Coturnix japonica: one gene and its partner. The protein of the gene in region 2 binds, or shares a complex with, the protein of the main gene of each other region. Links are inferred from orthologs where the notes say so. Each region holds a gene or a part of one and is shown on either strand. Other genes may lie near its edges.

The links. The genes of interacting proteins can lie anywhere in the genome.
Region 1: CNOT2 (region 2) and CNOT6 share a complex: the UniProt entries of both Homo sapiens proteins name them as parts of the CCR4-NOT complex. The link is inferred for Coturnix japonica from reciprocal best matches to the Homo sapiens genes CNOT2 and CNOT6.

Annotation. Positions count from the first base shown.
Region 1 is NC_029528.1:4,221,132-4,225,263, reverse strand, and holds the start of CNOT6 (CCR4-NOT transcription complex subunit 6), read right to left. Parts: upstream 2,874-4,132; 5' UTR 2,688-2,873; intron 1-2,687. UniProt on the Homo sapiens protein: Poly(A) nuclease with 3'-5' RNase activity.
Region 2 is NC_029516.1:32,450,258-32,453,903, reverse strand, and holds part of CNOT2 (CCR4-NOT transcription complex subunit 2), read right to left. Parts: intron 2,517-3,646; coding exon 2,369-2,516; intron 1,745-2,368; coding exon 1,562-1,744; intron 1-1,561. UniProt on the Homo sapiens protein: Component of the CCR4-NOT complex which is one of the major cellular mRNA deadenylases and is linked to various cellular processes including bulk mRNA degradation, miRNA-mediated repression, translational repression during translational initiation and general transcription regulation.

The DNA of each region.
Region 1 (4,132 bases), on a different chromosome or scaffold from region 2:
GCCATACATTTCTCCTAGCAAAAAAAACCCAAACCCTTTAAGTGACATGCCTTGTATATTTCAATTCTAAAGACTGAATGGCAATTTCATTCATAAGGTTATAGCCTGCATACAACCTTCATTCATAAACCTTCATTCAGTCTGCATATAACCTTCCCATCATGTGGCCCCATTTGAGCCAGGGACAGCACGTTACAAGCTCTACATATACAAACATAAACACAATAACATGACAAAACAAGGGGCTAATTTTAGACCTCTGCAGCCTGCTAGCAAACAGAAGCAGGAGGCTGCAGCCTCTGCAGCAGGGCTGCCTGTTGCAGCAGGTGCTGCACAACTTGAATGGGGAATTCTGGTTCACCACCCAGCCTCCCAGGCACGGTGGCAATCCAAATAACAACACACGGCACTACAAACAAGAATACTGAGCTGTTTAGTGGTAGTTTAACACGATTGCTTTTATTTACACTGCCACGCTTTAAAGAATAGGTGCTTTTGTTGGTGAGCTGGGAAAGCATTTTCTATTTGCTCTATCTTAGGAGTATTCTACCCCATTTTAAAGAGTGTTTTCCATCATGAACGCTGCACTTACTTAGAAGAATAAGACTTCCTAATATTCAGCATTGCCTGATCTTAGTGGTTTTTACCTTGATGAGCACCATGCTCACACAATCTGTGGCCTTTTGTAACGTGTTTTCAAGACTTCTTATGTAAAATTTCAAAAGCATTTACCTGCCCCTGCAGTATCACAGTCTCATCTACCTTTAAATTCCAGTTCTTCCTCTAAAATTCAAGCAAAGTAAACAGCCTGAACTCATTGTGTCTGCATAGAGTTCAACTCCAAAATGCAAACAGAAAGGGGATGCAGGGTAGTGTCCGTTTTATAAACAGACTGATCCACACGATTCAGATGAAAAGTGAGTAAAGAGTTAATCCAAATGTGAAGGGCTCCATGTCTGTAAGAGCATGAATAAACCCCCACAGAAGGCTTCATGGCCAGCAGCACACTCCACAGAGTCCAGATGAACCAGCAGGAAGAACAGAGGGCGGATAATCCTGTAAAATTACCCCAGTGGAAATGCTGATAAATTCCCAATTACGAGACCTGCTCTAAAATGAAAAAAAAATGCAAGATACAAAACAATTACCAGTCAACACTTGCACATCTCTGTCTTTAAGCCAGACACGTACTGCAGGTATTCCTTAATCCCTTGAATTCTGATTTGTTACCCGTTGTGGTGAGAGCTAGATTAAGAAAATAAACCCTAGAAAACTATCAATTAAAAAAACAAACAATCAAAGAGAAAATCCTGGAGATCTGCAACCCTGCTTACAAGGCAAATAGCTGCCTGCAGAATGACAGCGTGGGTTACTATTAATGTTGGGGTTGGAAGGGACCCTGGAGATCCCCTCCTAATAGGTTCCCTACAGTTGGTTGCATAGGAAAGCATCCAGATGGGTCTTGAATACTGCCATAGAAGAACATGGCCTCTCTGGGCTGCCTGCTCCAGTGCTGTGTCCCTGCACACTTGTAGAGTTAGACATTAAAAAGAAAAGAAGGGGAGGGTGGAGGAGGGGGAGAAGGAAAACAACAAACCAGTTTGACTGTATCTGTTATGGCTGTACTCTCACACTACAAAACGATGAGCACGGTTGATATGGATTTCTAATATTCACGGACAAGTCGTAGAGCTGCACCGTGCACACACCACGATGGAGACAGATGCTCAGACACAGACTTTCCTAAAGCCCCCTGTGATCCCAGCTTACAGCTCCCCACAAAGCCCTGAGCCACAAGCTCCCTGCGGGCACACAGGCCCCGCTGACCCACTTCTCCACGCTCCATGGGCTCACACAAGCTGCGAGCTCACACACGTGCGTGCTCACACAGCTCCACATCCCCCCACTCACCCAAGGAAGCTCCGTCCCAATTCCCCTCTGTTTACCCCCGCAGGTGTGTGCCCCCCCCATGCCCAACATGTCAGCGCTAGCCCCGCCCTACCCCGCCCCCATTGGCCGCCGGCGCTGCCAATCACGCTCTGAGCGCTCGGATTGGCTCTCCGTCTCTCCCCCCCTGCCCGGCCGCTCGCAGGGCCGCGGGCCGCCCGCTGCCACCACAGGCCTCGCCCCGGCAGCGCCGTCCGTCGGCGAGCGGAGGGTTGAGGAAGGAAAGGAAGCGAAATGGCTGGAAAATTGCGCTTTGGACCATTATCAGATTGATGTCATTTCCCTCTCTGCCTTTTGTTTAATTATTTTTAAACAGTTGGGGGAAAATAAATAAATAAATAAATACATATATACGTATATATAAAGAACTTGGAGCTTCCAGATGCCGTTACACTAATTCCTCTTAATTGCCCTCCGACACGATCGCAGCCCGATTCTCGCCGAGCAGCTGCCAGCTCGGCCCCCGCCCGCAGCCCCGAGCCCGGCCCGGCCGCCCCCGGCTCGCCCCGACACACAACAAAACAGCCCCCCCTCCTCTCACCGAACTCTCAGCCCCCCCATAGCGGAGGATCCCCCCCACCCTACGCCGCTCGCCATAATAACACGGCTCCCCTCCCCCCCCCGCACCCCCCACCCCCGTTAACCCCCGCAGCCCCGCTCCCCGCCCTCCCCGTCCCCCTGAGCACGAGCCCCCCCTCGAGGCGAGGCTCCTCGGCCGCCCCGCCCCGAGCCCCCGATACCTGTGGCTGCAGCATCCCCGTCCCCCCGCCGCCCTCGCTCCGCCGCCTGCCTGGCTCTTTGTTTCCTGCCGCGGGCCGGACGGGAGAGCAGCTCCCCCCCGCCTCCTCCTCACACTCATTGAAAGCAAACAAGCATCATGGCGGCGGTGGTGGTGGCGGCTGCTGCGGGCGGGCCGGCCCTTCTCCTCCTCCTCCTCCTCCTCCCTCCGCCCCGCCCGCCGAGGCCGCCCCCGCTCCGCGGCTGCGCAAGGCCGGACCGCAGGAGGGCGCTGAGCGGAGCTCGGGGGTCGCCTGGTTCGGGGGTCGCCTGGTTCGGGGGTCGCCTGATGGGCCCGGAGGGGTTTGTCGTGGCCCCCGAACCGAGGCGTGTGTTGTGGAGCTCCGGTGGGAAGGATAAGGGGGGTCACGGAAAAGTGGATAAAAGTGACGTGTGTTTCTTGCCACAGCGGTGTATGGCGGTAAAGCAGTTCCCAGTGTGAGGCCAGGGAGCCTAAAGGAAGTCTTCTTCTTAAAGAACTTTAAATTCCACATAAATGCGATGCAGAGCTGCAGTACATGACCTCAGGCAAAGCATGGATCGCATGTTTAGCAAAAGGGATGTCTTTTCCACGCGTGTATCCATAATAAAGCAGATCCTTGCCCCAGATCCTTCACTGTGCCATGGCCACGGGCTTCCATCTGCTGGAACTTCACTTTTCTTTTATGTTTTTGGTTATTTGAACCAGTCTGCATCTCCACATCAAAAGGAACGGTAAAGAGAAAACCTCAAGGGAGGTTCAAGATAGATGTCCATCACCAGAGCTTGTGATGGACACAGAACAGGCTGCCCAGGGCGGTGGGCATGGCCCTGAGCTGCCAGAGCTCAGTGGTCCTCGTGGGTCCCTTCAACTCAGGATACTCTATGATTCTATTATGCTATAAGAATTCCCAGATCACAACTCTGTTTCTGGAATGGGAAGGGTAAATAAGAGTTGAAGCCTCACTTGCCTTGGTATAAATGGATACATAGCTGGAAATGAATGGCACTCTCTTTGGTGTGCAATGAGGCATTCTCTACTAAGAATGTGAAAGGCACTGAAGCAGGCTGTGCTTCTGAGGAACACCAGCAGTAACCTATGTGAGCAGGGCTCTGAAAAGTGACCCCATTCTCGTCAGGAAGGCTTAGTTAGCCCTCTGGCACTTGGTTTGGGAAATAATCATGCTGTACTTCAGATTTCTGTTCAGTCTTATCCTATCATATATCTGAGATGTTCTCGGATAGCAAACTACCTCTCTGTGGTTGTGTCAGATACCTGAGCTGGCTTGGTCACTGGATGCGGCGCGGACTCTGCATTCAGTGCCAGCCTGGCTGTTCAGGGCCAACAGCCATTCAGAACTGAGCAAAGCAGCTCTACATGTCATTCCCTGCACTGTATGTGCGTTCTTTCCAATAACCAGCTGTCCCA
Region 2 (3,646 bases):
TAGCTTCTTTGCCTGCTGGCACAACACAGGAAAGAAAAGGCCAAGACACAACGGCCGCTCTTTAAGAAATGCCTCCTATTTTACTGTGTTATCCCACAACATCAGAAGCAGATGTTGGTGGTATGGCAGTGGGGGCTGAACCATCCCACCAATATTCTGTTACATGTTGTTGCTGTGTGACAGAAGGCAGCAGAGGGGCAGTCTGACACAATGGCACCTGAGATGGAAGCACGGATAAGCAAAGGTGTGGAAGTGAATTCCTCCATCTGGAATAAATGGCTTCCATTGGAACTTACTGAATGTTTACGGAGACCAAACAGTGGGTGTGAGCACACTGAGGCAGTGAGTGGGTCACCTCAGCTGGTGCAGATTTTGACAAGCATGGCATGCAAGGTCTTGCTCATCATGGGCAAATATGCATAGCTAACAGCAGTGACTATGTTGAAAAATGGTGTTTCGTAGCTGAGAATTTGCTCCATCAAATTCTCTGTTGTTATAGTTGTTATAGTCTCTATATCTGTTGTAGTTTCCATGGAAATAAAATAGGAGGCATTACTTTCAGAGTGGTCTCTGACCAAAGTCTTCTCATACTCCAAGAACACAAATTACTATTATCAAACCTCTATTGCTGTGATGAAGAAAGAGGTTACTTATGCCTACATCATAATGCAAAGATACAGAATTAAGAAGACTGATCAAGTTTCAGATAACTGGCATCCATTTTTTTTCATTTGATTAGTAAAAATACTACACTGGGTTAGAGGTAGCATTTGATTGCCAGGAGTGTATTTGAGCTCAGTCCCCTAGCCTAGGGCATGAAGCGAGAAAGAGGAATGACCTGGGAACACAGGGATCATGAGGCTCCGGAAAGAAGTCTGGAAAACAGTCAGCTGCATGAAGCTGATTACACACTATGTAATTGGAATTGACACACATTTTATTACAAGGTTATCAATATAAACTAAGCATAAACATATCAACAAGACAGGTAAAGCACAATGATTTCTGATGCCACAATCTTGCCCAGAGTTAGAAAAAAAGAGCAGAAGTAACTGAGAAAATTCTGGCATCAAAACAAGCACCTTGGATGAGTTGCAAACCACTGCTTTCCATATTATTCCAGAATTTAAAGTAAAATATGAGGTCTCCATTGTGTCCAAATCAGTTAACTATTCTTACAGAACCACAATTTGAAACAGTTATTCTGGATTATCTCTTGACTAAATTCTTCCCAAACTCATAGATGGAGAGTTTTCAAGAAGATGTATACATACAAAAAACAAAGTCTGTTTCAAAAATAAACTTGGGAACATACTAGAAACATCACATACTTTAAAGAAGGAATAGTAGAAATTAAGTAGTCAGAAACAGAATTTAGCTGAAAGGCTTCAAAAATGGCTGCACAACTACTGACAGCAGCTTGGAAAGTTAGCGTTGAGAGACCGGAAGACGCAAAGCAACACTTTCAAGTTTTATTCTAATGGATAAAAAAATAGACTTTGAAAGCAGATCTTAAGCACGCCCATGGCTGCACAGGCATGGTCTGACCAAACAGCCTTACCTGTTCACAGTAAAAGGTTGTCGAGAGGGTTGCTGCTTTGGCATACATATTATGCTTGGAGAGCTTCTGTTGGGGCTGCCTAACCCTGAACTGCTCATGCTGTTTGTCCTGCTGGGAATTCCAATGCCCTGACCAACCTGGGAGTGGTTCATCATATTCCTAGGATTCATAGGCAATATCCCCCTGAAAGAGAAAAACCATCCACAGAGATGAATCTGTACAATAGTATTTGGTTACTCATTTAAATTACTCATGTAGGATACACTTAAGAGTTGTAGCAACTTAATTTGTGCTTAGACTCAACACTGTATGTTTGGAGTACTCTCTATAATTAACGTAGTTTTGGATTTCTTCAGAAACACCAGATGACCCATTGCGTACCAATCAAGTCCTCGGTCAGGTTCAGATAAATACTTAAGTACTATGCTTTTGAAGAGGCGTTACAACTCTTATTTAAAGAGCACTTCAGACCTACTACCTTAATATTTTCATACTGTAATACAGCCATATAAAAACATTTACCATTTGTTTACCAGAACAACTGAAAAACAGACTCTTACATTCTGAAGCAGAATTTGCCAACAACTTTACATCCTTTACATACAAAATCAAACACTGTCTTAAGTTAAGTCTTATCCTACCGTTTTACGGTATTACTTACCTAACACAGGCAGTGGTCAATAAAAAATTACTGTTTTTCTTTTTTAATTAATCAGTCTAAAAGTAGCTGTGGCACGATACGCAGAACATTTAGTAAGTGCTCTGCCGAAAGACACAATTGCAGAAACATTGGCTATCAATAAATACCTGCTCGGAGATGGAGGCGTGTGAAGTGACATTGTTGGTACCCCTGTTGTTGGCGTTACGTGGCTCGGTAACTGAGTGCCTTGTGATAAGCTGCGATTTAACTGAGGGGTATTGTTGCTCATTCCCCTCATTGGAAGGCCTAGTGCACCTATTGAAAAAAAATTCAGAGGGGTGGAGATACATAGCGATCCGGAACAAAGTCTTAGCCATCAGGTGTGGATGGAAACAACTTATGCTGACAACCTCAAAAAGTGTAAAGACTGTAGGAAAGTGCAGCGTAATATGAAGTCCTTGCTTGCGTACTACAAGCCCAGTTACCTCACACATAGCCCCATTCTTGTCAAACTCGAGAAAGGCTCTTTAAGTCACTAACAAGATTTTGTTTCCTTTGAGATGTACTCTGAATAGAAGAGGGGGAGCTGTGGTTTTGTTGACGAGGACATCTACATGGAAATCCACATATTTAAAAAGTCGGTGTTCTGAGAAAATAAACATCTCCACTGAAGAACGAGGTTATTGCAATTGAATAAATGGATACATATTTGGCCAGCATCTAGAACGTCCATCTAGCTTGTCAAAAAATACGCAAACCTATAACTAAGAAAAAATAAAACTAGGAATATTTCATAACATGGCTTTCAGAGCATCGGAATGAATATTTTAGGACACTTCTCTATAAAGTCTGAGTTGCTTCTTTTTGTTAAGGCAATTACAGTGTCCAAAGTCAGGTTAAACTTAATTTTTTGAGGACTGAAAGCAAGTAGAATTTAAGCATCCTCAACTAGGAATTAAAAGCACACAGGGCTGGTTTGGGGGCTTGCTTGTTTTGTTTTTTTTTACATTGTCATAAAAATTATTTTCTATGCAAGCATTTGGGTGCTGTGAAATTACGAAAGTACTTTATTAACGCGCGATAAAAAGAAACCATCTCAGTTCAGAAGAACAAAAAACAACCAGTCTCAAAACGTCAGAATACTTTACAGAGCTTCTGATCGTTTCCACGTTCCTTTTCTGTATTCATGAAGTTTTAAAATTATGTCCAAAGACAAGAGAAAGCCATTTAGTGCAGCAGATCAACAGAAACATGCTTGCATCTAAAACGCGATAGCTATAAATAACAGTCCTATCGCTTTGGTGTGAGGCTGCTGAGGAAGCCTCAGAGAATTTAAAACCTTATCTTGCAGACAAAAGGAAGAAAAATTAAGACGAATCAGCACTCTCCAATGATAAATCACCCCTACAGCAGAGCTGAATATGCCAGCGTATGACATGATGAAA